Astyanax mexicanus: one gene and its partners. The protein of the gene in region 2 interacts with the protein of the main gene of each other region in a pairwise test. Links are inferred from orthologs where the notes say so. Each region holds a gene or a part of one and is shown on either strand. Other genes may lie near its edges.

Region 1 (11,293 bases), on a different chromosome or scaffold from region 2:
GAATTAACCAAAATATACAGTATTGGCTAAAACTGAAACCTAACAAAATGAAGTGTTTAATTTTGCTGCTTTTTCTCCCTATAAATTAATTAACCTAAAAGTATTTTTGTGTTGCTGTTAAATGTTATACAAATATGATACAGTGGTAGCCCAACATGAAACATCATGAAATCCTAATAAATTATTTTTACAAGTTGGAGTAAAGAATGCAGGATGAAGTCTGAGAGAGGAAATAGGATAAAGGTAGATTAAACTAGCCAATGTAAAGTTAGATATCTAGGTTTTACAATTAAAATGAACTTTCACACTGCCACAAAGCATTGTTTAGTTTTCTTTAGGTGCCACTTTGTGCTACATAGTTTTTACGCTATCCCATTAAATTAGAATCAGCTGCCAGAGCCCTAAGATAACACAATTAGTTGCTCTCTCTGTGTGAGTAGATGGCACTCTCTCCCCACATCACTCCAAAGGGTGATGTCCTCAGCACAAGGCATCTGTGAGCTGATGTATCGTAAACGAGACGATGCGCGTTCCTCCGAATGTGTGCTGGCTGCTCGGCAATGGTTGAATTATGACTGGGAGTTTTTGTAACGCTTAAGGCTAAAAGGCCTGCCCTTCAACAAAAAGAGCCAGTCTGCTAGCTGCTTATGCTGTGAGAGGGGGAAGAGTCAGGGTTTAATGAGAGAGCCCCACCCACACCTGGATCAAGCGCAGCAAGCGCAGCAGCCAGAACAACCTGAAAATGATTTTTTTTTGTGCTTTATAGAACCAAATGTTCTAAACTAATCAAGGGGTCAGATCTTATAATTGATCTTAAATATGTTTAAATCTCACCTATTTAAACAGAGAGGAAGCTGGTCTTGTAAGAGTAGATATAACCGGAGAATCTTAATAGAGAGGAGAATACTATGTGGATTAACTCCCAGCGCTCGTTTGACTTTAAAATAAAGTCTTTTTAATTACAGCTTTGTTTACTTAGCTTAACTTTACTTAACTTAACTTAGTTAGCTAACCCCCATCACCACCCAGTGGCGAGACCTGCTGAATTAGTTTCTTATAGTGTCTCTTAAAATGTGCTTTATAATCCAGTACACCTTATGTATATTAAAAGATTAGAAAATAGTTGTTTATTGATGGTGTACCTGGTTTGCCTTATAATGCAAAAAATACAGTACCACTTGAGAATCTCTTTAGGATTTGTTCCTCCACAGTCCCAAATGAATGGGTTCAGTCTGTATTGGCCAAAACCAATTTACTGTAGAAAAATGGACTCACATTTAGAGAAAAACAGATTAGCTTTTAGATTGTTTTTAGCTGTTTAGCTCCATTTACCCCATTCATTTAGGACTCATTCACAGACCCCTTTAGGGTTCAGCAGTCAATTGCTAAGAAGTGAGTAAACCGGCTGTGTGAAACTGTGTATAACTGCCCAGTGGCTGCAGAGTGAACTGAATTGCCTATAAAGACTTTGCTTTTTCTCAGGTGTTGTTTTTTAATCCTCTTTTACCCCTCAGGTTTGAAAAGCTTGACATCACGCCGAAGAGTGCTCAGAAGCTGAAGCCTGTTTTGGAGCGTTGGCTGGCCGAGGCCGAGCTCTGGAATCAGAAGGGGCAGCAGAACCTGATGGAGTTTGTCGGCGGGGAGCCATCCAAGAAACGCAAGCGCCGCACCAGCTTCACCCCGCAGGCCATCGAGGTTCTGAACACCTACTTTGAGAAAAACGCCCTTCCTACCGGCCAGGAGATCACCGAAATCGCCAAGGAGCTTAATTACGACCGGGAGGTGGTGAGAGTGTGGTTCTGTAACCGCAGACAGACTCTGAAGAACACCAGTAAGATCAACGTGTTTCAGGTGCAGTAAGGGAAGACTCTGAACTGTTTAGCGTGCAATACGAGACTGAAAATACGGAATAACGGACCTAAACTGTTCTTTTGTACTGTAACTTTAAAAAGATGGTGCTTTTTGTGTGTGTGTTTTGAGTGTCTAAGGTAGTGCTCCTGTTTGATGGACTTGATGATGGATTTAAATGCATGAATGGTCGATCTATGGACGGAGTAGTACAAAATATGCTCCTCTAATTTTCTGTATTTTTTTTTTTTATTACTCTGCATGAGGTACTCTCATTTAAAACATTGACCACTGATGAAGCTTCAGTGAGAAATTGAGCAATTTGATTTAATTCAATATGTAAATAGGCCTGTCATGATAAGTTGTTTTTGGAAGATATATTGTTGTAGAAATGATTTAAGACATTTTATGCCACTAATATATTGGCAGTGCTGTAGCATAATAATTCATGCATTTACACTGCATTTGCTTTTTAGGAGCAATGGACTTTTAATTACTAGGAATATTCATTGGAATTGAAATATATAATATAAATAAAAAAAAATGAAATAAATATAAAAAAACAAAGTCAGTGTAGCAGCTGAGCTGATTTACTTAATAAACATTTTTGACTGAATAAAACGACACAATAAAGTAAACACATTGAGTAATACTGAGGGCAGCAAAAATGATTTGTACAATAAGTCTATAATGTATGTAATTATTGTGACAGGCCTGTAAACTGTAAATTGTAAATTTATGTTACTGTGGTCATCTTTTTAAATACCTTAACATTACAATAATACTGTAAATAATACTTTTATAAATCATCACCATATACAAGCCCCCTAGTTATGGTTCTATTAAAAATTTAACCAACATCAGTAGTAGTACAGCACAATCTCTGATATAAATTTACAGTTTTCTACTATTCATAATCATAATCTGCTTGTGCAATATCATTTACAGCCGAGGACTGAGATTGACATCAGGTCTACACTTCCAGATGTTAAAGACTGTTGGTGATGTAACATATGAGTGTATTTTGTACATTTTTGTTTTCCAGCTCTATGGTAGCTCCTGCAATCCTCCTGTATGGTCATTGTCCGTCTGTCTGTCTTTCTGCGGTGTGTGTGAGCAGTGTGTGATATTGGACAATCATGGTATTGTGTGGATCAGATTATCAGAGTATGCCCTTTACTGAAGTGGCAGAATCCACTGTATTCTGATTGGGCTGGATAGATGTATATGGTTAATATGGCAGTGCACACTATAGGTCTATTGTTTTAAATAGAGAATTTACTAAATCTTACAAATCGTTAAAACTGCAGTGAGATAAATGTGAAGTTAAATTTCTATGGATTACTGTTACTTTATAACTACAATCTTGCCAAAATAATAGCTTAGGTAGGTCTGCGTTACATAAATGATCTTTATAATGTGAAAGTCAGCCTCATATAAAGACATACATACTGTAATGTAAAATGGGAATATGGATAAACTTTCTTTAAGTGAAGTTGCTAGCTGAAGAACAGTTTGATTAATGTTGTTTCTGGGTTAAAAAAGCCTCTGGGAAGACTTTATGTAATATATATATAAGGTGTATATATTTAACTTTTTGTGTAACCCTCAACTTGGGGGTTATGTGAAACATTTAGCAAATTTTAAATAGAAAATGCAAAGCAGGAATATGATAAAACACTCCTCATATATCATCAAAATGCACTTTTTACACCTCTCTGAGAACTGGGTGGGCGTAGTCATAATTTTCTAATGAGTGTGCGTGACTGACAGCTGTCTATCACTGGCGAACGAAGGTTTATTTAAGTTCAATTTAAGCTCTCAATGCACACAATGCACTAAGATGGTTGGTAAGCGACAGCTCACCAACTTGCCAGTTCTGGTTGCTCAGACTCGAAGAGAGAGGGCGGAGCTATGTTAACTTTGGTTAGAATTGGTCATGGTTCCCATGGACCCACTTTTAGCCCCGCCCATATCACACCCAGAGGAGAGTGATAGTGGTGAAATACATAACATTTTTAATATGAGATATTAATAAGAAATACTTTGTATATTTACACTTGGGACCCTGAACAAATCTCACATATAGCTTCCCAGAGGCTTTAAACCAACACTTTATTATGTTACTGTTAATAAAAGGTGTAATCGTTTCGTAAGGGATTCAGAACATTGATTTTTTTTCTGTTTATTTCTCAAAGCCTTAACATGTTTGTGTGTGCAGTAAATATTCAGCATGTATTTAACTATCCACAAATATCCACAGAGTCCTGTGTGTGGTGACACGACAAGGTGTAAAGGTCATAGGACAAAAAGCAACTGCTTGGAGTTTGTAAAGTTGCGTGTTCTTGTTTTGTTTGTGTTTCGTCTTAAAACTATGCCGTTATGAATTTCTGATATTCATAATGGGCTCATTTCTGTGTCTTTTTTACTCTTTGGAAGAAGCTTCTCCATTTGAAGTTGAACTGATCAAGATTTCAGCTTCATTGCATTGTACATAACTACAGTCCAATTTAATTATATTTCATTTACGCTATGTTTTAGAAACGTATATTATTATTCTAATTTTTAATAATATTATTATTAATATTTGTTTAGTGTCTTTTGAATAACAAGCCTGACATACCTGAGAAATCCAAGTAAATTATATGGACATAGTGGATACATCTTTTGTGTAACTTTTAATACTTCTCTCAATAAACTCATTTAAATCAGACACAGTTGCAATAGTTCTTGTTCTGTAATGTCACAAATACTGTGCATTTCATTCAAAAACATCATACATTCAAAAATATATCTATCTGTAAGGGGACAGTGATGTCAAAATGTAAATACATTTGAAATCAGAAGTTTACATACACTATATAAAAATAGATATATAGTTTTTTCTCACTGTCTGATCTTAAATCAGACCAAATGGTTTTAAATCAGGATTACTAAAAGGTTTTATATATATATATATATATATATATATATATATATATATATATATATATATATATATATATTATATTATATCTATACATGTATTTGCAGAAAATGAGAAATGGCTGAAATAACAAAAAAGATGCAGAGCTTTTAGACCTCAAATGTGCATTATAGAAAACAAGTTCATATTCATAAGAATTTAAGAGTTCAGAAATCAATATTTGGTTGAATAACCCTGGTTTTTAATCATAGTTTTCATGTATCTTGGCATGTTCTCCTCCACCAGTCTTATACACTGCTTTTGGATAACTTTATGCTACTCACTCCTGGTGCAAAAAAATCAAGCAGTTCAGTTTGGTGGTTTGATGGCTTGTGATCATCCATCTTCCTCTTGATTATATTCAAGAGGTTTTAAATTTGGTGAAATCGAGGAAAAAACATCATCATTAAGTGATCTCTTATTTTTTTCAGGTGACATCATGTAAAAAAAAATGTGTAAGGTGTGGGAACGAGATACAAATGCTTGGGAATTAGATAATTAAGGCATGGGAATGAGATACTAATGCGTAGGAACGAGTTAATTAAATCAGGCCGGAGAATAATAAGGCTTGCTTTTCTGTAACTTAATGCTCATGAAGAAACTGAATATTAGATCATAGCTCTTTTAATCCAGAGATAATATTTTATAAAAATAAAATGGAGAATGAATTGATTTCTTTTTATTTTAATCTCTAAATTAATTATGGTAATATTTTGGAGTGTCTTGCAGAGAGATATAGAATAATTCTTATACTAAAAGCTGATTGGCTCAGATGTAGACAGTATTAATAAATACTACAATTAAAATATTAAATAGGCCAGTTAGGTTGAAAAAATAGAGAGTTATTTTGATATAATATCTTATATTATATGAGAGGAAATAACGTTTCCTCCCTTATAAATAATACACAGTACTCAGTGCTTGTAATTTAGAATTTCTCCTGTTATCGCTGCGCTGCTTTAAGCTCCGGGGCTGCAGGGGGCAGTGCTGCAGCGCTGCTCTCCCGCGCTGAGGAAGAGAGCTGCGGATATTACAGCAATACCTAAAATCTAGAGAATCGAGCAAATAAACAAACAGGAGTTTTCTGTCTTAAAGGTCTGCTGCGCTCTTATTTCCCTCTGTTTCGGGTGATTTATGAGGAGTAGATATTATTCCGCGGGTATTGGGGGAGTTTAGAGGCTTATTTCGGTATTAAAAGCTCGATCTGACAGTTTGGTGAGTGTTGTCCGGAGAGAGACGAGCTGAGAGAGAGAGAGTCCGCCGAAAAACGGATTAAAACCATGGAGAGAAACAGCCGCCGCTCCAGCCCCGACACCCGCTCCTAACCCGGGGTGAGTGACTGACACAGAGCCGGGGGTTTACAGCGGGCTGAGTACAGGAGAATACAGGGGTTTATTATCATTAATATACAGAAATAAACACCATCACTCCTTCAGCTGCAGCACAGAGACCATGTTAGAGCAGGAGCTGAAGTTTAAGAGGAGCAGGCTGGCTGGTTTGAGTTTGAGTTTAAATTAAAGGATTTAATTTAATGTGATTTTTTATATTCATATATTCTGTATCCTCCAGGTCCTCAGCTCTGTGTAGCTGCTGTTACCGGTGTAATGATCATAAACTCGGGTTTAACTAACTTTACAGCGAGTCTTAACACCACGGAAATAACAGCAGCAGTTATCTAACTAGGTTAGGTTAACACTACACTGGAAAAAATAGGGAAAATATAACTTAGCTGTTATTTAAATTAAAACATATATGCTTATTTTAAGCAACTTTTTCTTAGTAAGATTTTAAAATAAGTGAACAAAACATTAAATCACTGTTTTTTGGTTTAAAACCAGAATATTTAAGAGTATAGCAAAAACATTAGTTTTTTTTGTAGGTTATTTTGTCTTTAACCAAACATAAGGCCTCAATTATATGTACAAGTGAACACACTAATAACAATTACTTGTCCAGTAACTTTTGTGCTAATTATGAGTTTAAATGATTTAAAATAAGGTGAAAATTGTAACCTAAATAAGACTGATCAATCAACTAATCAACCTTTATTTAAACTCATTTATACTCATACCCATAGTATTGCCCTCATGTATAATGAAGTACATAGTATGTAGGGATTGTCAAAGAGAACAAAAGACCCAGCATTTTAACAAGATATTATATATATATATATATATATATATATATATATATATATATATATATATTAATATATATATATTAAGATAGAAAACACAGAAGATCAAATAAATTTGTAAAAAAGGGATCATAAATCATAGGTAAAAAAAACAACAACGAAGGTAATAAAATAAAAAAGTAATCAAAATGCAACAACAGATGATTAAAATACAACGTAACATGCAAAACAAAGTAGAAGTTGAAGTGTTCCTTAAGTACAGCACTTAAGTAGACATACTAAAGTACTCAAGATTTTTGTACTTAATTAGTGCAGGTAGTTTATACTGAAATGTACAATTCAAGCACTGAAAGTAAAAGTACACCACTGTGTTACATAGGTTAATACTTTAGTGGAGTACAGATACAGCATTGTAGTACTTGTAGTACTACTTTATTTTTTTTTTATCAGGGTAGACAAACAAACGCACACACTGTTTATTTGGATAAAGTTTAGCACATTTAGAATAAAATCACACTATTTAATTCGCTTTTTTTTTATCTGACGCTACTAATGCATTTTCTCTGTGTGTAAAAATATGATAAATATTGTATCTTGTTAAATTGTAGTGTAAATATCTGGATTCACTGTTTATATTAGTACTAAATAATCTGGAATCTGGAGAGTAAGTTTTAACTAGTTAAATGTAATTCTAGATTAGAGAGAGTAATGCAATGATGTAAATCAATATTAACATAGGACTATTCAGAATTGATATAGAATTGGTAAATATTTCATGATTGATATCTGAAAAGAGTTTTTTACATGTAAAACTGCAGTACAGAGGTCTGTAGTTAGATTATTTTTGTTTTTACAAGTAAAACGTCAGTGAGTTAGTGTCATTTGGTGTCATTTTAGGCTGAAATGGCTCACATAAAAAATGAACTATTTATTTACTAGGGCCTGGCAATATAAAAAAAAAAAAAATATTGTTAAATATTTTAAGAAATATATTGCTAGTAGAAAAACACATAAATAAATAAATACAACAGTAATGGCAATTTTTTTTTCCAGTTTAGGGACGACTAACAGAAAGCTTTGGGATGGTTGTAAAAAAAAAGTTAGTTTAGAGACTGACAGTAGTATTTAACCTGTTGTAACTCCTCCTCCCGCGCAGGTGTGTGTGAGCTGCCCAATCAGTCGCAGGTAATCGAGGTCAGTGCGGTTGGCTGTGGTCAGTCGGACGTGAGGTAGAGCTGAAAGCTTGACGATGGCGTGGGCTTTGAAGTTACCCCTCGCTGACGAGGTGATCGAGTCCGGGCTGGTGCAGGACTTCGACGCCAGTCTGTCCGGTATTGGGCAGGAGCTGGGAGCTGGAGCCTACAGTATGAGGTACTGCATTAGTGCTGATTATATATGAGGGGTTATTTATATATACAACTGATTTTAAAGCTGTGTGAGTGGCTATTTAGCTCTTTTGATTTTATTTTAATTACATAGTAATCAGAGACAAGTTATAACAGTTATTTTAGTGAGTGCTGGATAAGAGTTCAAAATTTTGTGTATAATTAATTACCTGTAGTTTGGTAACAAATGGATTGACAAGTTTAAATAATAAAAAAAAATCTTTCTTGTTGTGTTTACACATCAGTAAATGCAGATAGTCATACAGTATCTGTGGTGTTTCATTGTTGGGTATGCTGCAGTATGTAGTATGAAAATAGATGGTTATCATATTCACTAATATGATGTACCTTTACTAAATACTGATATTTAAATGCAACCATATTTTACAAAGAATTTAAAAACCAGACAATCAATCTGTTATCCATAATTAAAAAATAACAATTAGCTTGAAATAAAGTAGTAAAAAAAGAGCTTTACTTCCTGTTGAAATTTCTATTTATTTATTTTAAGATTAGAAACATTTTACATAAACTGTTTTAAAAGAACGACATAAGTTTGTATTCGACTAAAATATCCTGTTTTCATTTCAAGGGTCAATATCTAATAATAATAATAATAATAATAATAATAATAATAATAATAATAACAAAAAGGAATATATACTGTTATACAGTAAAACCATAATATTTTTTAGACAGTTAAATAATTGTTTGCTTATGCTTTATAATTTCATTATTTATTTATGTTAAGTGATAATGTTTCTACTGAGAAGTGTTTTGGCTTTTTCTCCAGTAGTTATTGTAAATTGTGATATAAGAAATATAAAAAAAAGCAAAATATGAGGATTTTAATAACACAATTTGATTATTAATAGTTAAGGGAATGTAAGCAGTGTTATTGAAATTATCATCTTTTATCAGTAATGTCTCATTAAGGTTAAGTTCACACAGCAGATAAAAGTGCCCCATATCTGATGTTTTACGTTGTGTGTAATGCACATGTGTTTTTTGTGGCAGTGTGAACAGCAATTTTGGGTGATAAGCTCAGCTGTTGCCTCAGCTCATTCACAGCTCTTTAGATTCTGAAGGGATGAAACCGAAACTTCATGTACAGACTGTTCACACCATTAAAAAGATTTTGTGAACAGACATAACAAAAAAAACATCAGATTTGGTGATAAAATCAGATTTAAACCACGTTTATACCTGCTGTGTGAACATAGTTTCTTCTTTATAAAAGGCTGTATGATTCTGAATATGGGAAAGTGTAATGTATTTACAGATCTTAATTTTGTTTTCCTCTCTACGGGTTCTCTCTTTCTCTCTCTCTCTCTCTCTCTCTCTCTCTCTCTTTGCAGTGACGTTCTGGCTCTCCCCATCTTTAAACAAGAAGAGTCTAATCTGCCTCCCGACAGCGAAAACAAGATCCTTCCTTTCCAGTATGTTCTGTGTGCTGCTACATCACCTGCTGTCAAACTACATGACGAAACGCTCACCTACCTCAACCAAGGTCTGCTCATTCTCTTCCATTCTATATGAATATAAATATTAAAGATTAAAAAGACAAACTTTAAATTTAGTATATTTATTAAGTAAAGTATATTTGTGTTTGGATATAGCCTACTAGGGATGCACATTGATATTACAGTCATATCAGTATCAACAGATAATTGCTTATATTCAGATGCACTGACAACCCAATTTTTCGTACAATAAGGTGCATTTAAAATTCTGAAATTTTCCCAAAAATTATCATTGTGCCTTATAATCCAGTGCACTTTATGTATGAATTTTACCAGTTAGTTTTTAAGTAGCAATAAAGTTCTCCTGTGATTAATTAAGGGAATGGTACATGCCTTTTGTCTGTTGTCTTTGAGCCGCGCAAGTGTACTTTTCCAGTCGTTACGATAGCAAAGACAACACACTGACACACCCTGCTTGCCTATAGATCACTAAAATAGGACCCTGTATGTCCACATTTTTCTGAATAACACTTCTAATAAAAGCAACCAGCTTCTTTAGGTTGCACACATCGCAGATAGCTACCTACATGTACGTAATGCCTGTAGTTCTGTTGAATTGTGTTTTTTTTAGGACAGTCTTATGAAATTCGAATGCTGGACAATCGGAAAATGGGTGAGCTGCCAGAGATCACAGGGAAGATGGTGAAGGTGAGGTTAGCCATTCATTACTGTGCATCTGTGTTGTAGTGCTTTACTGGTTTGGTAGTTGACTGGTATTTTAAACTGTGTGTCTGCAGAGTATCCTTCGTGTGGTGTTCCACGACCGCCGGCTGCAGTATACGGAGCATCAGCAGCTGGAAGGATGGCGCTGGAATAGACCGGGTGACAGAATCCTCGATCTAGGTGAGTAGTTTTGAGTACTGAACTGTTGTTGGGCTATAAATATAGATTTGGGATTGCTGTGCAATTGCCTGGTTTTCAGTGGAAACACACATAAGGAAATACTGTTTGTGATCTCAAGCTCAGGCGAACTTGGGTTCTGCAGCAGGACAATGATCCAAAGCACACAAAAAAGTCCATCTCTGAATGGCATAAAAAAAAAATATAAAGGTTTTGGAGTGTCACACATGGCTAGATTGGTTTGGATAGTTTTTTCTTTAATAAATAAAATTAGCATTTAAAAAGTACTCTTTATATTTACTCATGTTATTTTTTATATTAAAATTTGCTTGATATTTGAAAACAAAAAAGGTATCACAAAAAAGCAAAAACACCACTGTATGTGACCATATACGTGCTCTTCTGGAGATTTTTAATAAAAAACAGCTATAGTAAATTATTTACCTGTAATTTTAGTATTGCCATTTTAAAATTGTACATACATAGAAAATATTTATAATATTTATATGTCAGGTTTGCAACATTTTCTGTAGTTTTACAAAAATCACTGTTGTTATGCTAATAATTTTTTTGTTTCTATTTCTGTTAAATTCAG
Region 2 (10,912 bases):
TGTTTTTTTTTTATTGATGCATCTAGACAGGTTAATAAACTTGGTCTAGCAGTTTAACAAAGTGCAAAAAGTAGAAACAAATAAAACTGCATTAGAAAAAGCACTGGGCATAGCAAACACAATAATTTGCAATGCCTTTAAAAAGAATAAAATATAAAGTACTTTACTAATGACAAAACTAAATTTAAAGCATCAAGAATAAAAAGAATCTGGCTGCAGATCTCCAGTCGCCTCCCCACTTCCTCTCTCTTAAATCTTTAAACAGAAGATCCTGAATTTAGCCTCAAGTTTTAAACCTGAAGGCACTGCTTACTGTCAAGCTAAATTCCCAATATTTTAAAAGACCTATGATGACACCACAGAGACACATCTGCACAAATCTAATTTGAATCTCATTTAAAACTACCTCCAAATATGTTCTGGTTTTAATTAGCAAAAATCTGTGTTTTTTGACTATCAAAAATGAAATGAGATACAATCTAGACATGCCAAAAAACTAATTTGGGCCTAAGATAACTTTATTAACTTGAACCTAGGGCTGGACTATATGGCCAATTTTTTTTACCACAATAAATATTTTTGTTCGGTTTATACTATACAATTCTGATATTGATATGAACACTACAGCCACCTTCCTTAGTGTACGTCATCGCGCTCTGACAGAGTTAAGTGAAGCAGTAAAAATATTGTCTTTCATGCATAGCAAACAAGCACTGATGAGCCTCGATATGCTTATAAAAGTATATGGCTGATACAATTAAGTATGATAACTTCACAATCTTTTATACAGAGCAGACTCTGTATATAGCACTGTACCTTTTTTTCTTTGTCTTCTTTTCACTTACTGCTACTGGTCCATGTCTAAGGCAAATGGACAGAAACCAGGGGTTAGAGATTAAGCACTTTATGACATTTTAAAGTGTGCATGGGATCCAATTATTTAATATCGAAATTAACACATTTCATTTAAGTGCCAAAAAATAGCCGAGGTAAATAGACAGTGTGTAAATTACATAAGCTGGTCTAATAGAGGCATATTGGTTCTTGTAATAAAGTACACACAAAAAATAGGGTTGTGTCTATATATTATTCAATATGTCAATAACAATTCTTGTGACCTAGTTAGGCCTAGTTACTGCTACTAAACTGGACTGAGACTCCCACACAAAGATATATACATCTCTGGAAAAAAATAAGAGACCACTTCAGTTTCGGAATCAGTTTTTCTGCTTTTGCTATTTATAGGTATAAGTTTAAGTAAAATGAACATTGTTGTTTTATTCTATAAACTACGGACAACATTTCTCACAAATTCCAAATAAAAATAGTCATTTAGAGCATTTATTTACAGAAAATGATAAATGTCTAAAATAACAAAACAAATGCAAAGCTTTCAGACCTCAAATAATGCAAAGAAAACAAGTTTTAAGAGTTCAGAAATCAATATTTGGTTGAACGCTGGTTTTTAATCACAGTTTTCATGCATCTTGGCATGTACTCCACCACCAGTGTTACACAGTGCTTTTTAACTTTGCCACTCCTGGTGCAAAATTTCAAGCAGTTTAGCTTGGTCTGATGGCTTGTGATCATCCATCTTCCTCTTGATTATATTTCAATTTGGTAAAATCAAAGAAACTCCCATTGTAAGTGATCTTTTATTTTTTCCAGAGCTGTATATTTTTCCACAGTAAACCACATATGGTTAAGTAAGCACTACACTAAAAAGAAAATTTAAGATGCTTTTAAGATGTTACCCCTAAGATGTCCCTGTCGTGACTGCAGTACATACCCTGCAACACTGGGGTCTTTATTTTCCATTTCTTTCAGTTTCTTCTTCATCTCTGATGTCCTTGATGGTCTATACAGATACTTTCTTTTCCCAGTGCATTCGTAAGACCAGTGTCCATACTCCAGGCACTTCTGACAGCGAACATGCTGTTTATTTGCCTCCCTGCAGCCAGAAGAAAGGAATATGGAGAAAGATTAACATGTTGTTAAAGTATAAGGATAAAAAAAGTCAATTAATGAAAAATGACAACAAATTACCATTAAATGAACAGAAAATAATATGATAATGTCAAATGTTAACACTTTGTATAATGCGTACAATGCCAGAATATGCCAGATATTGGAAAATCAGCACTAGCTAAGAACTATAAGATCTTTCCTCAATCTGACTAAATATATTGGCATGTAATTTTCAATTGTTATATGTAACCACTTCTTACAGCTGGATGGTATAATCAATATTTTATTCCATCTTAATTAATTTTCTTATCTTATCTACAAAATGCCATCATCACTGCTGAAAGAACACTGAACCAACTGTACATTTCGATGAGAGAGTGTAAAAAATCCTGTTAAATAAAATCCTGTGCAGCAGAAATGCTATAAAAATCACAGTGCTATGCATGTAAGAGCAGTTGAATGTTTTTTTTTTTTTTTTTTGTCCGGCACTCTTGGTGCTCGTCTGTGAATCAAATTACAATAAATTCTGTGATATAATATTTTGCAATATCGGCCACTTCTTTTCATATGTAAATAAGGAGTTGGCTTTTATACTGTTCAAATAAACATAGAAATTATATTGTATCTACCAATATCAAGACATATTGTAAAATACATTTTAGCCATATCGTCCAACACTACCACTAATAAAGACTGAATCTCATGCTCTATTTTCCGAAACGCTTTTCAGTCTAAAATGACACCAGTTGTACAAGTTGTAACTCTTATTTTGATTATTTCTTAACTAGAAATTCTTATAAGCAATACTACCAGAATGTCTTAACATATGATACTATTACCAGTATTAATCCCATAGGTGACCTCTTTTGGAGCTATGTCCACCGGTATAAATTAACCTACATTACAGATATCAGTAATTATGAGTTTACTTAGGACTTGTATCACTTGAAAAATGAAAACTGGACTGTAATATTACCGTGTAAATAGAGAGGGAGACTGTAAATTCAAGTAAATCCATGGTAACGTATGAACAGTGCAAATTACATTTATAATATCTGTTTCCTGGTGATAAGACTGGTCAGAACGTGTTTATAGATCTGCAGATCTTGTATAGCTGGTGTGATTTTCAGAATCAGAATATCTTTTTTTTCGCCAAGTATGTTAACCTACACATACAATGAATTTAACTTGGTAGTACAAAGCAACACGTATGACGTAGTTATAGTAAGCTAACAAGTACACAAGCTCTTTACCTACAAGTATTAAACAAAAATAGAGTAAAGAATAGTAAAATTTTAAAAAAGCACTAAAAGTAATTAAACGCTGGGGGAGCTGATACATGGAAATATCTGTACATTAACAGATATGAATGCTACGTATCCATATGTATCCTGAGTAGACATTTAACTTATACACATTATTAACTAGCTAGGATTACATATAAATAAAGAATTGTTTGGAAGTTTGGAAGCCAAAATGGCCAAAATGGTTGAATGAGTTATCCATAGTATCCAGTATGGAGTCTTTTAGATAGAACCAAAAACGTTTAACTCAGATTTGAAGTATCTTTAGTTAACGTAAGTTAGCTAAGCTAAGCTAGGTTAGGTTTGGTTAGCTAGGTGCACTGGTACCAGGCTGTTTTGGTCGAGAGTAATTCTCACTAGCTCTGTGTGTGTATATAGCTAAAGGTTTGTGTGAGCCGTTCTAAAAATAATAATAAAAGAGTTATTAATGCAATATATCAGTGGTTTAAGCTCGTTGACCTTCCCGCTATAGTTATTAGTTAGGCTGCGTGGTTAAATGTTTAAAGTGTGGTCAGCAAGGTCTGTGTTTAAACACAAACACACACACACACACACAGCGCGCTGGATCTGGACCTCACTGTACGTTTGCGTATGTGTCGAGGTCCACGCGAGTCCAGTCTCTAGTGAAACTACAGGTTAGTGGCTCGATAAATGTAATAAAGACTAACTCAAACAGCCACGCGGGTTTCATATAAGAAAAACTTACGCTTGTCTGCGGGCAATTAATCTGTGCATAGGCGTCGCCATGCTAGCTCCTGGTCTGTCTGAATTCTCTCTGTGCGATTTCAATGAGAGCCGCCCGCTGGACAGGAGGAGAACTGCAGACCGCGCAGGTCTAATTTAATCAAACCTATTAAATCATAGGCTGTGAGCGAAATGGCTCCCCACTCCCTCATTAGTTTTTACCAAATGTCGAGCTGTGTCTAAAATTGACTGGAGGAAACGCTGTGCTTTGACGGGAGGACAAAACTACGAGTCCTGCTGATGGAAATTTTAAAAAGCAGTGTTTGTGTTAGTTATTATGTATGAGTATTCACTTTCTTCATTGCTTGCAAGTTTATTGCATTTTTATGAAGACAAGCCACTATACTCATGTGCACATCCATTGTTACCCATTTTAGCCATTTACACAAATAATTTATATTAACTACTAAGATTTACCTTAATCAGTGGAGATCGAGGCTTATTTTCTGCTCATAAACATATTATTCATGAGATTAAACTGTGTCTCTGTACTTAATAATAAGCTTTCCTGTAGTTTTAAGAAAACACTAGACTTATATTCACTCTACAATTACTGTAATTACTTTTTTCTTGTGCCCTAACATACAATACACAAAACACACATTTAATACACAAATGCAGATAAACAAAATAATTTTAAATACAATTATTTTGTAATTGGTGATATGGAGGATAAAGTATTTTATTAAATGAGGTTGGAATAAATCCGGTGATACTGTTGATATGCATCAGCTGTTTTGTTTTTGTGTGGTTTTCTCTGCATATTGGTTGATTTAAAACATGTTTTACCCGGTGCATTGGTTTTATCTGGAGGCCAATGTAACAATGCCAACCCTGATGGCTGTCTGCTCTGTTTGTTTGGCTGTCTGTTACTTTCGTACGTTCACATTACAAGCCACATTGTTTAAATCTGATTTTTTTGCTCAGATCGCATTCGGCACATTGCTCAAATCTGATTTTTTGCTCAGATCGCATTCAGCTATCTTGACGGTTTACATTCACAAATATAGATTAGCTTTTACGTATTCGATTTAGGACCACATATAAAAGGTGTGAAATGTGAAATTTTTCGGTGAAACATGATAACCAGTACAAGCATTTGTTGAATAACCCACTTTGTTTGCCCCCAGCATTCCAAAATACAGCGATTTTAGCCGAGGCTCCCAACAGGCTTATAATGCTAGTGATAGGGGCATAGCTCAATGTAGCTCAATGTAGCTCCTTATTTTATTGGTAGAATTTTGAGAGTGCTGAAGGATGTGCTTTTCATACTAAGTTTTGGTTTAGACATACATGTTTTATCAAAAGAGAGAGCACTAGGTAGATGTTTCATATTAAATAATTTACGTATAGGGAAATGTAGGGAAAGATACCTTCCACACTTTCAAAAATAAAAATACACAGAAATGTACTCTTCTTGTTTTGTCTTTATTAAAATGAGGTGCGAAATCAGAACAAGATAAAAAAAAAAGCCTTTTCCTACATATCCTCCCAGACAGATCACTGTTCAACTTTGACATCTTTCATGTCATGCCATTCAGTAAAACAAAGCCGGTCTACAATTAAACAAAGAGGGACATCACAGGACCTGCACTTGTAGATGGTCTTCATGTATTTCTTCTTTTGAAGACAAAGTGCACAGTTTCTCCGTCCCACTGATGATTTTTCTCTTTTAGTTGCCAATGAGGGATCCACTATTGGGACAGGATAGCATCCCCTCTTCTTTGCCTCCTCCACTAGTGGCTGTACAATTGGCTCCTCCTTGATTTTTGGCTCAGAGGCTGCTGGTTCTGTGGCCCTTTCACTCCCTAGGTCCGCAAGCTGCAGGCACAGGGCTTCTCTGAATTTCTTCTGGGTGAGGGGTTTTTGTTGCTTGGCCAGACTTAGCTCTCGATGAATGACGTAGCTGTTCACCACAGCAATGTCAACAAAATGAAGAAACAGTTTCTTGTACCACTTCATTGTCTTTTGGGTGACGCTGAAGTATTTGATGAGAGCATCAGAAAGATCGACTCCCCCCATGTACCTGTTGTATGCCCTCACTGGTTCTGGGACAGGGACCGATTGCAAGGACCAGGTCCCATCTCTGCTTTTCACTCGACGCTGGACTGTTGATCCACAATATGCTTTGTGGATAGTTGAGCAAACTGTGACCTCACGAGTGTCCATCCACTTAACATAGAGTAGTGGGCCTTCTCTGATCCACCTGATGTCCCCTCTGCTGGCTTTCTTTGGGAGAGCATTTTCTTTGTGTTTAGGGTAGCCAACGCAGCTCTCCCTGATGGTGCCACATGCCTCAAACCTCATGTTGTGTAGTTCACAGAAGAGAGTGGAACTGGTGTAAAAGTTGTCCACATATATATGGTAGCCTGTACCAACAGAGGCAGCTGACAAAAGGTCCATCACAGCATCATAGCCCAGGCCCTTTCCAGAAGGTGACGGAGACTTGCCTTGATATATGTTGAAGCCGCAGGTGTAGCCGTTTTTAGAATCAGCTAGGACAAAGAGCTTAAAACCCCACTTTATGGGTTTGTCCCTCATGTATTGTTTGAATCCAATACGGGACTTTGTTGCTACCATACGCTCATCAATGGACAGATTTTGATCAGGCTGGTAATAAGCTTTGCATGCAATCTGAATGTCATCCATGAGAGGCCTCAAACGACCAAGGCGATCGTGTTTGATGGTGCCTTTTAGCCCGTCATTCTTTACATCCTCTTCGATGTCACTCATGTGCAGATTCCAAAAGATTGCTTCATATCTGTAACCAGCAATTACAGAAGCAGGGAATGGAAAGGTGTGGAGTCTGTCCTTTCTCCACAGGTCTCGTACCGTGGATGGTTTTACAAGGCCACAGTAAATGACCACACTTAAAAACTGGTACATTTCCATGTCAGTCACAGGATGCCATGGTGTCTTTATTCCTTTTTCCTGTCTTTGTGCTGCATATTTGTTCGTGTTTTGGCAGAGGGTTATGATTGTTGAGCTACTCATGAATAACTGGAACAGCTGGAGGGGTGTGTACTGTTGGTGGCTATCAAGCTGTACTCCAGGAGTTCTGGCAGGTGAAAAGGGGTGTAGAATTGGAGTGACATCTTCTTCATCTCTACTGCGCCACCGATCTTGTTCATACACAAGGCATCTCCTCTGTCTTTTGGAAGGACTTGAACACAATGAAGAGAGCACATTTGGCTGTTGAATATTAGTGGGGGGTTTACGTCTAATGGTGGAAGGGGTAGAGGGTGTAGAGGGTGTGGAGTCAGATGATGGAGCACTTTCTTCCCTAAAATATATAAATAAATAACATTAGATTATTTAATCTTAAACATTTGGACCATAATATACAGTACCAGTCAAAAGTTTGAACACACTTTAAATTTAGTGTTTTTTCATTATTTAAAATTCTTCCAAACTATAAAGAAAAACATTTAGTAACGAACCAAAATATATTTTATATTTTAGATTCTTTAATGTAGGCACCCTTTGCTTTGATGACAGCTCTGCACATCTTGGCTGGATTTTCTTAGTCAGCTTTATAAAAGTACTCACCTGGAATGACTTTCAGTTAACAGCAGTGCTGAACTTCCATTACCCTCTTAATGTGCTTGAGAGCATCAGTGTTTTCAATATTATGACAAGAACTACTCAACTAAGTAAAGAAAAATAAACTTAAAAAAGGTCAGTTAATCTGAAAAGAACAAAGCAGTTGCAAAGACCATCAAAAACATTATGATGAAACTGGCCCTTATTAGGACCACCCCAGGAAAGGAAAAGCAAAAGATACCAGCCTCAGAAACTGCAAGTTAACAGCACCCCAGATAAGAGCCACCTAAGCTTCACTAAGGAAGTTTGAGTGGGTTAACACTTTTAATTTTACTACATGATTCCTTATTTGTTCCTTCATAGTCTGCATGACTTCAGATTTCATTTACAATTTGGGAGAAAAAATATGGAACGCTTGACTGCTACTGTATATATGGTGTGTTAAATTTACATCTGTTAATATAAAAAGATTTCACATGCTGATCATTTAATAAAAGGGCTCATTAAAACATGAGCAACATTATAAAGCTTTTACATATAACATGCTAAATATGTAGTGTAGTGTAGGTGATACAAAACCCTTTTTTTCTGGTTATTTACATTCTAAAATCTTTGAGGCCTTTGGAGACTCCTACAGGACACTTTGATAACACGTTCAATCTCTACTCCACCAACTAATAATAATAATTCAGATCACAAATACTGATTTTATTCATTATTTTCTGACAGTTTTAGTTATTGTCTTATAATTAAGATTATCAATAAAATGTAAAACGATGTAATGCATGATTTAGAACTTGGTAAAGTTGGTTTGATATATCAGGCAGAAAATTACTGCCTGATTACCAAAATACTGGCCTGTTAAGGGGGTCTCTATAAAATGTGGAATCCAGAAATAGCATTGTGTATCAATCTTAGGAGAATTCAATATACAGTAGATATCTGGTGTAAAACATAGCAATTCAATGGTTTTATGAGTGTATAATAAAAAAAACTTAATATAATTTTATTTTTTTTTACTTTGTTTTACAAAATATTTATTAATTACTAGGTTAACTAACACTAGCTAATTTACCAGTTATTTATCTGCTACTGAATGAATAAATGAATGAATGAATGAATGAATGAATGAATGAATGAATGAATTTGTACTCACAGGTGAAACGCATCTGAACGCTCCTGATCTGAATCAAAAGAGTCTTGCTCTGAAGAGTTATTCTCCAGATCCACCTCAGAATCACTACGGAACAGCTCCTCTAAAACCTCTGAAAAGTTTAAAAGCGGTCTTGCAGCCGCCATTGCTCCTGCTGGAATTCAGTCACACCAAAACCTACCCCCCATCCCCCCACCAAAACCCACTTCCCCCAAAACACACACTGAAAATAATATGGACTGACCTAAAGCGGGCGGTACGTTTCTTCGTCCTTAATGTGATTTGTCTGGGTTTGGAATTTTTTTCTTTTATGCCCAATATTATATAATATTATATAGTATAGTATTTTTTTTATTTTTTTTATGAACAATTATATAAAGTATGTAGGGAAAGATCAAAAATCGTATTTTTGTAAATTTTTTATTTTTAATTTATTTTATGCCCAATAATATATAGTATATAGGGGGAGGTTTAAAAGAAAAAACTTATATTGTTTAACATATTGTTTTATTTTTAATTTATTTAATGCTTAATAATATATAGTATGTAGGGGTATCTTTTTTATTTTTAGTTTCTATTATTGCTAATAATACATAGTATGCAGATGTCTAAAAAGAGAATTACTATTGAAATGAATTTACAGAAAGCACATTAATGTTTAATATTTGTCCATTATTTACACGCTCATGGGCGTTGGATATTTCGTCAAATATTTCGATGTGCCTGACTTGAGGATCCCACATCATAGGATGTTTACATGCTGCTGTCTGGTGGGAAATTCGTTTGTGGGATAAAACCGACATAATTATAGAATGATCTGAGTTCAGAATCGCTCCCTTTTACAGAAATAATACACTATATGATATGTCAGCTATTTTCTAGTGATGTACGAAATCTTAACCGTATATTTTATTCCCTATACGGCTCCCTATCAAACACCCACAGTGTATCATAAAACGTAGTGTACAGATGGTGTATGCCAGAGGTTCCAATGTATACCATAATGCACACTCCAAAACTTTTTGCTCAAGACCAGCTGGTGAGCCAGAAAAAAAAATACTCTATGCTAATTGATTTTCAGATTACTTTTTACTTCTAATCCTTTACTTCTAATAAGAGTGAAACTGATTGTGTTTCAATGAGAAGTATAAACATACCATTCATACACCCTATTGGTTTATACGTGACCCAGAACGTCACATCACGCCTCAGCAAGGACACTATAGACCCAAAGCTTTTGTCCTTAATTGCATTTTTTCCCTTTACATTAGTTTTCCCTGTGAAAGACTCCTTTCCCTATCCACATGGCGTGTAGATCAGATTACTTCATGGTATACTCCCTGATTCGCCTATATCCTCCGCCTGCAACATATAGAAACCCTATAGACCAATGAGAGCGTGCATAAGGTCCCTACGTAAATGGAGGAGCTGCGCAAAAAAACGCAAATAGGCGTACACGCGCGCATGGGTGTGGTAGTGGGGGGGAAAGTGAACCTGGCTACCCAGGACCCGAGTGGGGAGAGGGGCCCATGAAAATCCAGATTTGTTTCGCTCACGTTCCTAATGTACTGGTATGGATAGGGGCCCACTCACATTGAGAGTGTACAGGGTCCAGAAATTGCTGCTACGCCCCTGCGATGCGCGCATTCGTGAATTGTCTGTTTTGGCACACGGTGTAAATATAATTACCTACAATCAAACGATGTGGATGCCAGTCAAAGGGAACGGACCATTCAGAATTTAAACATTCAACGTTGAAACGCTGAATCAACATAATGTCCTCAACCTTCTGCCTTTGGAATTAGCATTTTACATTTCATCACCATACAATTTTAAAAAACGGTTGGATGAAAAAGTTTTTTTTTTCCATTTGCAGTAATTATTTTTAAATTTGGCACTAGTTCTGTGTTTGTGTGTGTGTGGGGGGGGGGGGGGGGGGGGTCAGGATGGGGAGGGGTGGATTGGTGGATTAAATTTGGATTTACTTTTCTTCATCTTGGGTGAGTAATCTAGCAAACATAAAACGAGTTTGATTGTGTTTAAATTGTTACAGTTGTTAAATGATAAAAAACAAAAAAAAAACAAATTAACTCTAATACAGGGGAGAATACCCACATGAGTTTGTTTGGCCACCAGAGAGGGCGCTCCCGAGTAAGACCAAAATTAAAGTGTTCCTATAAAGCACAATTTTTAATACTGA
Region 3 (10,818 bases), on a different chromosome or scaffold from region 2:
GAAAAGTTAGCTACATAAATGAGCTAAAAAGAAAATGACAAAAAAAAGAAAAAAGTGAAAACAAATTTTCATTTTCATGGGACACATTTTCTTTTTTGTTTGCATAAAGTTGCTTTTAAGCTAAAATGTAAGGCCAGTAAGTGTTGCATTAGTTTCTAAAGTTATACCGACGTGTCTAGCCTCTCTGTAAGTAATTATATCATTATCAGCTCACAATTCTTATCACATTATAAACTAATAAATTATGTGATATACCATGATACCTATACAGCTCTGGAAAAACTTCAGTTTCTGAATAAGTTTCACTGATCTGATTTTGCTATTTATAGGTTTATGTTTGAGTAAAATGGACATTGTTGTTTTATTCTATAAACTACAGACAACATTTCTCACCAAATTTCAAATAAAAATAGTCATTTAGAGCATTTATTTGCAGAAAATGAGAAATGACTGAAATAACAAAAAAGATTCAGAGCTTTCAGACCTCAAATAATGCAAATAAAACAAGTTTATATTCATAAAGTTTTAAGAAATCAATATTTGCTGGAAGAACCCTGGTTTTAATCACAGTTTTCATGCATCGTGGCATGTTCTCCTCCACCAGTCTTACACACTGCTTTTGGATAACTCGCTGGATTGATGGCTTGAGAACATCCATCTTCCTCTTGATTATATTCCAGAGGTTTAAATTTAAAGAAAATCATAATTTTAAGTGGTCCCTCTTATTTTTTCAGAGCTGTATTTAGTAAAATATATACATAAGATGGAGTTGTATACAACTACATTGAGAATGTTCTTGATCTGTATGGAGTTTCTGCAGGGAATTCTCAGCACATTCCACAGCACTAACTGCCGCCCCATCACCAAACTCTACAACGGACGGCAGGAAAGCCAACTACTTGCCACAATTGATGCAGGTTGTCAACATATACGCAGTCGTTAGAGATCTGCGGTCAGGGTGATGGAGGGGGTGGTAGCTCATCCTGTGAATTCTAACCCTGGTGTTATCACTGACCACACACCAAACGACTCAGTGACTGACGCAACAGCGGCTGCGATGTACAAGGCTGCTGATGTCAGAGAATCCGACCTTACTGATAGGATGGCTCAGCGTTGTTTTCTGAGGCTTTATCTTTATGTTGTGAAATTTGGCTCCTCTAAACTATAAATTATACATTTTTATAAATGCTCTGTGGAATGAGAGAGATGAGTTACATAGAGTAGCATTTACAAACAAGTTTAATTATTAAAGCATTAGGTCTTAAAAGTCTTTAGAGCTTCAACGGGTCTCCACTCAGTACACTCAGTATATTAGAGGTGGGACAAAATATCGATCTTCTGATATATTGTATAGATATGTTTGCGATACATTATCGATACGTGGCGTCAAATGATCGATTATCGATCATTTATCGATACAATGCGGTAAATGAATAGAAATGCTCCAACATTACTTATGAAAACTCCTTTAAAACTTTTTACATTAACTTCCATTCACAGTTTAAGGCAGTTTAAGGCCTTCCCGTGTAAAGTCACCATTTTGGAGATACTTGTTTTTCATTGGACAGCGATTCACATTTGGTATTCAAATGCGTCTTCAGTTAGTAAGACTGTAATCTGATCGCTGTGTGCAATAAAATTGGATGCAAATCTGTTCGTTATGCAGCAATTATTACTGGTGTGTTTGTAGTCGTGTAGAGGTTTTGATTAGGGTTGCCAAGTATTAATAAAAAGGGAAAAGGCCATAAACCACTGAGCTTTATTTGTATGTCTACTGGGATTTTAACATATTTTAAATATTTTTTAACTTTATTTTTGTAGATGCCTTCGTAGAAATACATTTATGATATTTAATTTATGAAATAGTTAAAAATGTTCCAAATTAAAAATCTTACATAAAAGAAAATGGAGATACAAGGAATTTGTACAATAGTGAGAACCTGTAGTTTCTTTGATTTTACCAAATTGAAAACCTCTGGAATATAATCAAGAGGAAGATGGATCATCACAAGTCATCAAACCAAACTGAACTGCTTGTTTTTTTGCACCAGGAGTGAGTAGCATAAAGTTATCCAAAAGCAGTGTGTAAGACTGGTGGAGGAGAACATGATGCCAAGATGCATGAAAATTGTGATTAAAAAACAGGGTTATTCCACCAAATATTGATTTCTGAACTCTTAAAACTTTATGAATATGAACTTGTTTTATTTGCATCTTTTTTGTTATTTCAGCCATTTCTCATTTTCTGCAAGTTCATTTTACTCAAAAACTGAAGTGGTCTCTTAATATTTTCCAGAGCTGTATATATACATTTTTGTTTTATTGCACATTTTTTGAACATTATCTTTAATTATCTTTTAGTATTTCATACCATATGTTTGGAAAATAGCATACAATTTGATTTGATCAAAGTTGCCAAACTCTAACCCTATTTTAACAGGTACATATATCAGGTATATATCTGCCACAAGACCACCGAACAGCATAAAAGGATAGAAAACAAACAAGATATACATATTTAAGAGGAGAGCAGGTGAGTAAGGAAGATAGATGGGTGGTAGAGATAGCTCAGTGTCTCTTTAAGCTGTGTTGTGTTTCCAGCCTGAGATGATGACATCTGGGGAAGATATGAGCACCCTGAGATAAACGCTTAGCTAACACCCAGAGACCAAGGTGCAATTCCTGTAAGGAGCAACCCAACCAAGCAGTCAGATTTTACTCATTACACATGGTAATGTCTCCATTACATCATTATATAGTTCTGATGCATCATTACATTCAATAATATAAGTGATTTAAGTATTTCACAACCCATGAAATTACCCCTCATAAAGTTTCTATGTGAGGTCGTATTTGTATTGTTTCTGCTCACCAAAAACATTGTGTCTCAATTGTTTTTATTTTTCCCTTTTTTTAATATTATTGCTCTTACACAGATTCTTAAAAAAGCAGGTTTATATAAGAATAAAAAGACCTTCCTTATTTCAATGGTAGTTAATATAAAAAATATTTGAATCCAGGTAATTCAGGAAAAAGTCTGCATTCTTCTATTGGTCCATTAATCATTAATTTCCAAGCAGATTCATATTATGTATAAAAAATAAAAATAAAAATAAACGCAATGCTTTTTTTCACTTCTTTTCACTCTAAATAATAGCAACATTTTGAGTAGGAAATTTTAATTTAATTTTTTTGTGTATTTTGTAATATTTCTATTGCTCAATTCATCATGAAATTCTGATACAATCTAAAATAATCCAAAAACTTAATGCTGTCAATTTTTGACTAAAGTTCAATCTGACAGTTGTCCCTTACACAGCATAATGAATGGAGTAGTACAAAATACTTGATATAAAATGTTTTAATTTTTTTTTCCTCCTTTAGTTTTTTTATGACAAAACTTGTTTTGTTTACTTGATATAAAAACAAAAAAATAACAAATAAGTTCTTATTTGTCATGACATGACATTTCTACTTTACTCCAATATTGACTACACTGAATTGCATTACTTAAATTATCAGATGTTGGACACAGTTGGCTGGTGGTGAAATCTGGTAAAAGTCTCTTTTCATTCAAAGTATTTAATATTTTTAATGCTAGACATTAAAGCTATACAGGAATACTGTTGAGACTCTTGCTTTTCAGTAACACAGATGCTGTGAAATAGTTCAGAAATCGATATTTAGTGGAATAACCCTGGCTTTTAATCAGTTTTCATGTATTTTGATATGTTCTCCTCCACCAGTCTTGCACACTGCTTTTGGATAACTTTATTCCACTCACTCCTGGTGCAAAAAACCAAGCAGTTCAGCTTGGTTTGCTCTTGATTATATATTTCAGAGGTTTTTAATTTGGTAAAATCTAAGAAAACTCATCATTTTTAAGTGGTTTCTTATTTTTTTTTTTCTGGTGTGAAGGTGAAGCAGAGCGCAGAGCTCAGAGAGAGAGAGGAGCGGGGGAACTGCAGGCATCAGGCGGCTGGCTCTTATGCAACCGGCCGAGCTTTTCTCTCCGGCTCTCAGCAAAAACAACCGACACCACAACGCGGCCAGGAGCGAGTCCTGCTGCTGTTTACAGTGTTTTAATGTAAAGAAAAGCAAGAAAACTGGAGAAATGAGCGGCTGAGTGCAGAGTGAGCTGAGAGCTAGCGCTGCTGGGTAATAATACTGTATAACACTGGAAGCAGCAGCAGCAGCGTTTTCAGACATTTAGCACAACTTTCATTCCCCGGGATCGCTGATTCGCCTGCGCTTGTTATTAATATATACATATATATAATAAAGAGAGTGGTTTATTATATCTATTATATATCTGCTGCTTTCTCTTCGCCGCTGAGAGCTAGTAGCGGTGGACGGGCTGTCTGCACACATGCTAAAAACGCCCGTAACCAAGTCAAGTTACTGAAACGTCACCCAGCTTAAGCGGTGGAGCTCAAGTCAAGGGGATATTTTCGTATTTTTTAGAGACGGGAAAAACGGCGAGGACGCCGCGGATTCGCTTACCGACAGTCCGGTTCGGTGCTTCGGGCTCTCCGACGTGCAAATATAAAGTCTGGAAGCGTTTCTCGCCGCTGAGGAGTTTTTTTCCAAGTCGGTTTCAGATGCCGTGTCTTTTTTTTCCGCCTTCAGTCGTTCACGACCTCATTCCAATATGGCACAAAGTCCCACCGCGCATGCGCCGCCGCCGCCTCACCTCACCTCCCCATCCACGTTGTTGTGCTCGGGCTCTTTTTTTTTTAAGCGAATAAAGCGAGATAATAACGCGGCTCTCGCGCTGATAACTCCCTACGAACACGCGCTCTACAGGAAAGCTCGGGTTTACTGCACGAGCCGGCCCGTTTCCGCTTTAATAAGCTACAAACAGTGACCAATAGAGGGGCGCAACATTGCAGTGCGTACGCCGCCGCCTGCTCTCCGCCCGCTAAAGCTGCTGCCGCTGCTGCTGCTGCCATTAGCTCGGTTCAGCTGCTCAGTTAGTTACTTGAAGCGCAGTTAAGTTATAGTGTTAAAGTCTGACAATATAACTTAACTGCGCTTCAAGTTGCTGCTGCTGGAGGAGCAGCTGACACTGCTGAGGACTCTGAGGATTTGAGGGGGAAGGGGACAGTGTCTCTGTCTAAAACAACACAAAAGTGTGTACATTAGTATACTATTGTAGTTATAGTATGTACAATAAGTATTATGTGCAGCCATTCACTCAGCTGCTTCTATTTACAATGATAATAATACTAATACACCATATACATATATACATACAGCTCTGGAAAAAAAAATAAGAGACCACTTAAAAAAAATATGATGAGTTTCTTTCAATTTTACCAAACCTCTGGAATATAATCAAGGAAAAGATGGATGTTCACAAGCCCTCAAACCAAGCTGTACTGCTTGAGAATTTTAGCACCAAGAGTGAGTGGCATAAAGTTATCCAAAAGCAGTGTGTAAGACTGGTGGAGGAGAACATGCCAAGATGCATGCCATGAAAACTGTGATTAAAAACCAGGGTTATTCCACCAAATATTTATTTATGAACTTTCTGAAAGCTCTGCATCTTTTTTGTTATTTCATTTCTCATTTTTTGCAAATAAAATCCATAATTGACAATGTTGAAAATGTTGTCAGTGGTTTATAGAATAAAACAACAATGCTTATTTTACTCAAACATATACCTATAAAATGTGAAACTCATATTATGTAGGTTTATTACACACAGAGTGGTGATTAATGATTATGGCTTACAACCAATGAAAAACCAAAACCCAGTGTCTCAGAAAATTAGAATATTATATAAGACCAATTGGTACTTTTGGCCTGCAGAAAAATGAAATCCCCATCTCCATAAAAGTTCACAAACCATCACTGATTGTGGAAACTTCACACTAGACCTAAAGCAGCTTGGACTGTGTGTCTCTCCATTCTTCCTCCAGACTCTGCTCCCTTGATTTACAAAGGAAATGCAAAATTCACTGATGATCAGTGATGGTTTGGAGAGACATGTCTGTCATCTGCTGGTGTTGATCCACTGTGTTTTATTACCAAGTCCAAAGTCAGTGCTGTGTTTTCCTGGAAAATCTTACAGCACTTCATGCTTCCCTCTGCTGACTACTTTTATGGACAGGTGAAGCGCAATAATAAAGTCATTGGTAAGATGATAAAATAACAGACTGCTAAATAAAAGGGAGTTCTAAAGCTTTTGAGCCGTATACATACTATATAGCTCTATTCCACACCTTCAAACCAGAAAGACTCTAATTAGCTTTTTGAGGTGATCATTCCCAGCTGGCACACAACTGACCTTCAATGTTGAAATGTGGTTGAAATATGACTAAAGTAATGTCTGTTGTTGATTCAATGTTGAAACAATGTTGAATCAACATTTAATGTTCAATGGTTGTGCTAACGTTGAAATTTTAACGTTGAATCAACATAATGTCCCTTACCTTATCTTTTGAATTAACATTTTACATTTCACCACCATATAATTTCTAAAAATGGTTGGATGGAGAAATGAAAAAGTGTTATACTTCTATTTGCAGTAACTGCTTTTTAATTTAACTTTCTTTATATTCAGATTTACTGCAGTGATGTAAGTTTATTGTTAACACTTTGTTAACCAGAGGATTTTCTAATTTTAGTGAGCTATGGTTTATTAAAGGTTGAACGTATGACGTTGAAACATTGTTGCTATATCAACGTTGATTCAACGTTGATCAACGTTGTTTTAACGTTTATTCAACGTTGTTTTAACGTTTATTCAACGTTGAAATGTCAGCTGGGTTAACACAATAGTTCACATACATTTTTCCGTTAGCACTATGATGTTTTTATGGTTGTTTTCAATGAAGACATGAATGAACATGATTTTTTTGGATGTTATTACTTTAGGCAAATTATATTTGTCAATACCCTTGACATGGATGAAGATCAGATCACATATTATGACAGAAAACCACAAAATTTCAAAGGGCTCACATGCTTCTTTTGCCTCTGCATACCATATATGCATAATTAAATAAATAAATAAATCTATCCATCCATAAAATAGGCCATGTTAGCAAATCATTAGAACATTAAAGACACAACGTATATTGTTAAAATGTTAGCAGGGCTAAGCATTGTGATTTCAAGCAGATTTCCAGCCCTTTATTTTATCATGCTGTGTCATGGACATTGGTTCCTCTGGTAGCTGTAGATTTAACTGCTCTACAGCACAGTGTGAGCACAGTCTGACTGACTGTATGCCCTGGCTTTACAGGTCAATCAAAGAAGAGCAAAAATAACCCCTAATCCTGCAGCTTCACATCCTCGACACATGGTGGCGGTAGAGTCAACAGTTTCCACCTGTCACCGCCAGCACTCTGAATGCGTTGTTTAATATAATGTACGTACAGTTTACAGTAGTCTATGCGTTTACAGTTCATTTTCCTTTGAATATTCTGTTTATACACAGCTCTGGAAAAATAAAAAGAGGCCCCTTCAGTTTCTGAATCTGTTTCTCTGATTTTGCTATTTATAGGATTCAAGGAGATTTTATTGTCATTCGCATCACATGTGGTACATGAGGTAGAACCAAATTGTGATCTCACGATCCAGTTTGCACCCAAGAGCAATAGTTAAAATAGATAAATATAGATAAAATAAAATAAAATAAAAATAAGAACACAATAAAATAGAATAGAACAAAATAGACATCAAGATAAATACACAAAAATATATATATACAGGTTTATGTTTGAGTAAAATAAACATTGTTGTTTTATTCTATAAACTAAGGACAACATATCTCCCAAATTCAAAATAAAAATATTGTTATTTAGAGCATTTATTTGCAGAAAAAAAAGAAATGGCTGATAAAAAAAGGCAAAGCTTTCAGACCTCAAATAATGCAAAGAAAACAAGTGCATATTCATAAAGTTTTAAGAGTTTAGTAATCAATTTGTGATGAAATAACCCTGGTTTTTAATCACAGGTTTCATGCATCTTGGCATGTTCTCCTCCACCAGTCTTACCCACTGCTTTTGGACAGGGGCGTAGCAAATTCTGGGGTCCTGACGGTCCACTTTCCCCCACTACCCTGCCCATGTGGAGTGCTACAGACAAGCAGCTCTCAAGCCCAGAAGGTTAAAGAACAAACTTGCAGAACAGTAGATCTCAAAGCAAGATAAAAGGAGACAAAATAAACACACAGCCCAAGTGGGTTCGAAAACGGGTGGAAAACAAAAACGGATGCGAAACGAAAACGGTCGGAAAATGAAAACGGGCGGAAAACGAAAACGGGTGTAAAACGAAAACGGCTGAAAAATGAAAACGGGTGTAAATCGAAAACGGGCGGAAAACGAAAACGTGTGGAAAATGAAGAAAACCGGTGGAAAGCTCACGGGTGGAAACAGAGAGCACGCAAAAATCATAAAAAAATAAATAAAAAAATAAAAAAAAGCATGGGCCCCTCTCCGTACTCGGGCCCTGGGTAGTTAGGTGGGAAAACCCCCACTACCATGCCCATGCTTTTTTATGCTACTCACTTCTGGTGCAAAAATTCAAGCAGTTCAGCTTGCTTTGATGGTTGTTATCATCCATCTTCCTCTTGATTATTATATTCCAGAGGATTTTAATTTGGAAAAATCAAAGAAACTCATAATTTCAAAGAGGTCTCATTTTTTTCAGAGCTGTATTTGTGCACCTCAATTTTACTTTGATTTAACATTGATTTAACGCTATGATTTTATGTATATGTATGGTTAGTTTTAATCTTCACTTACAAATTAATATGTGTATCTTGTTTGTATTCCATTATTATATACTGTACTGTGCTCCGGCTGTGCAGAAATTGACATTTAAATAAGAATTATTTATCATAAATATTTTATAATATTAGAATTATTATTTGTGGGGAGCAGCTAAAAGTTAGCTAAAAGCAGCTGGAGTTGTCCGGTAAGCCAGGGCGATATTAGCTAATGGTTTCTCCCACGTAGCTTGTTTTAATACGGTAAATGAGCAGGCTACACTCTGATATACTCACCCCTGAACTGCGAAAGAGCTAGCGCTTAGCATGGTTAGCAGATAATGCTAATGTTGCTCCAACAGTGCTAGCCGTGATTAGCAGCAGGCTACAGTCTGATAATACTCACCTCTGAACAGCAAAAGAACTAGCGCTTATAGTGGCTTTACTGCTTCTTACAACCTGACTGGTAAAATTCGGGAAAATGCCAAAAACACGGTAAATGACCACTAAACTCAAACTTTCTGAGATAAAGATGCATTTTATTGAATTGTGAAGTATAATAACAGTAAAAAAAAGGAACATCCTCAGCATCCCAATAATAATAACAATATCTTGGAACAATATACATACATTTGTTTTATATACATAATCATAACTCTTTTAAAAAATACCTACACATTCATTAACATTACAGATACTTTATCTCAAGAATTAATTTCTGCCGACATTAAACCTCCACCCACTATATACTATTTATAGGAGAACCTAGTACCATAACTTCACGCTCACCTAGGAACATGTTACCTCACACTAGCATTAGCATGTTTCAGTCTTGCTGTGGAAATTGTAGTTTAAGCCCAAGGAATATTGAAATATAAAAGAAATACTAATGCCTTCTACAGCCTAATCCGAAGTGATTGGTCACTGCCTTATATTGTACATGTATTTAGGAACTCGCAAAATGGTACAGATACAACAAACAGAGATCATGTTAAAAAACACTGATGAAGCTGAAGTATCTCCTTTATCTCCTGCCTAAAATGGGCCTAAAGTCTAGCTTTCTATCAAGGTTAGGCATACAAACACCATTCCTTTATCATTTAATCATTAATGGGCCTAAAATCAAAATAACAAAGGCAACAGTAACTTAAAAGGCAGAAAACAGGATGCAGTAGGCTAATTTAGGCAGTATTGGGTTAGCAAAATGTATCATTATCATCTATCATCACACTCTTAGATATAAACGTGCTTTTAAAATGCTTATAAATCTTATGAAAGATTCCTTGCAAAAAGTTCTTAACCTTTGGAACTTGCAGCGCACTTAAACCACCACCCAAAACCAATCCCCACGGCCCACACACAAAATATGATCATACATTTCATTTTCATTGAATTGAACCAAGGATCTTTGGTTTCAAAAAGACTCTTTTTTTTTTTTAAATCATTCATCCAGGATGGGCACAACTTCTATTTTGTCAATAAAAAAAAAGAAGAAATATTTCAATCAGATCTGTATTAATATTAACAATATTAACACCCGAAACAATCAATGAATTGAACCATAGAATTCACTGATAACTTTATCAGTCATTTGTCTTTATACTAATACTATGCCAGAACAATAAACAAGATATACCTAAATATAAGCTTTGATTTCTATGTAAAAATAATTTACATAAGAATGTAAATGTAATAATCTCATATTACATTTGTTGAATTTTTTTCATGCATTGAAAGGATTTTTATTTTGCAACAGACAAATAGAACAACATTTTTCTTGTTGTTCTCGATTAGCAAAGCTAGTTACGCTAATATAATATCTAGTTAATATTTAATAGTAGTGCAAGTTTGAGTGAAAGTTTAAAATTAAATAAAAATAAATTATACAAAATTCTGAGATCAATCAATCTTTCATTCAGTGAATCAATCAGTCAATTTAATAGTCTAAACTGATTGTTGTTGTTATTGTGTGTATTTGTATATATTTTAAATAGTGAGCTGCGTATTGTTTTGTGGTGTTTTGGTGTGGTGAGCTTCCATGATGGAGACTGGGGTTTAATTCCAGGTCTGAGTAACTATGCTGTGATATACCAATAAGA

The links.
Region 1: the proteins of zcchc10 (region 2) and tfcp2 interact in binary tests that used the Homo sapiens proteins (3 or more experiments, as listed by UniProt). The two-hybrid records come from large-scale screens. The link is inferred for Astyanax mexicanus from reciprocal best matches to the Homo sapiens genes ZCCHC10 and TFCP2.
Region 3: the proteins of zcchc10 (region 2) and sfmbt1 interact in binary tests that used the Homo sapiens proteins (3 or more experiments, as listed by UniProt). The two-hybrid records come from large-scale screens. The link is inferred for Astyanax mexicanus from reciprocal best matches to the Homo sapiens genes ZCCHC10 and SFMBT1.

The regions. Positions count from the first base shown.
Region 1 is NC_064420.1:6,041,549-6,052,841, reverse strand, and holds the start of tfcp2 (transcription factor CP2), read left to right. Parts: upstream 1-5,810; 5' UTR 5,811-6,144; intron 6,145-8,106; 5' UTR 8,107-8,199; coding exon 8,200-8,321; intron 8,322-9,693; coding exon 9,694-9,845; intron 9,846-10,429; coding exon 10,430-10,506; intron 10,507-10,595; coding exon 10,596-10,701; intron 10,702-11,293. Other genes in the region: pou6f1 (POU domain, class 6, transcription factor 1), read left to right, coding at 1,515-1,860.
Region 2 is NC_064424.1:20,460,290-20,471,201, forward strand, and holds the start of zcchc10 (zinc finger CCHC domain-containing protein 10), read right to left. Parts: upstream 4,113-10,912; 5' UTR 4,020-4,112; coding exon 3,979-4,019; intron 1,952-3,978; coding exon 1,790-1,951; intron 862-1,789; coding exon 817-861; intron 1-816. Other genes in the region: piggyBac transposable element-derived protein 4, read right to left, coding at 5,517-7,299, 8,716-8,858.
Region 3 is NC_064431.1:25,585,548-25,596,365, forward strand, and holds the start of sfmbt1 (scm-like with four MBT domains protein 1), read right to left. Parts: upstream 4,883-10,818; 5' UTR 4,504-4,882; intron 1-4,503. UniProt on the Homo sapiens protein: Histone-binding protein, which is part of various corepressor complexes. Mediates the recruitment of corepressor complexes to target genes, followed by chromatin compaction and repression of transcription.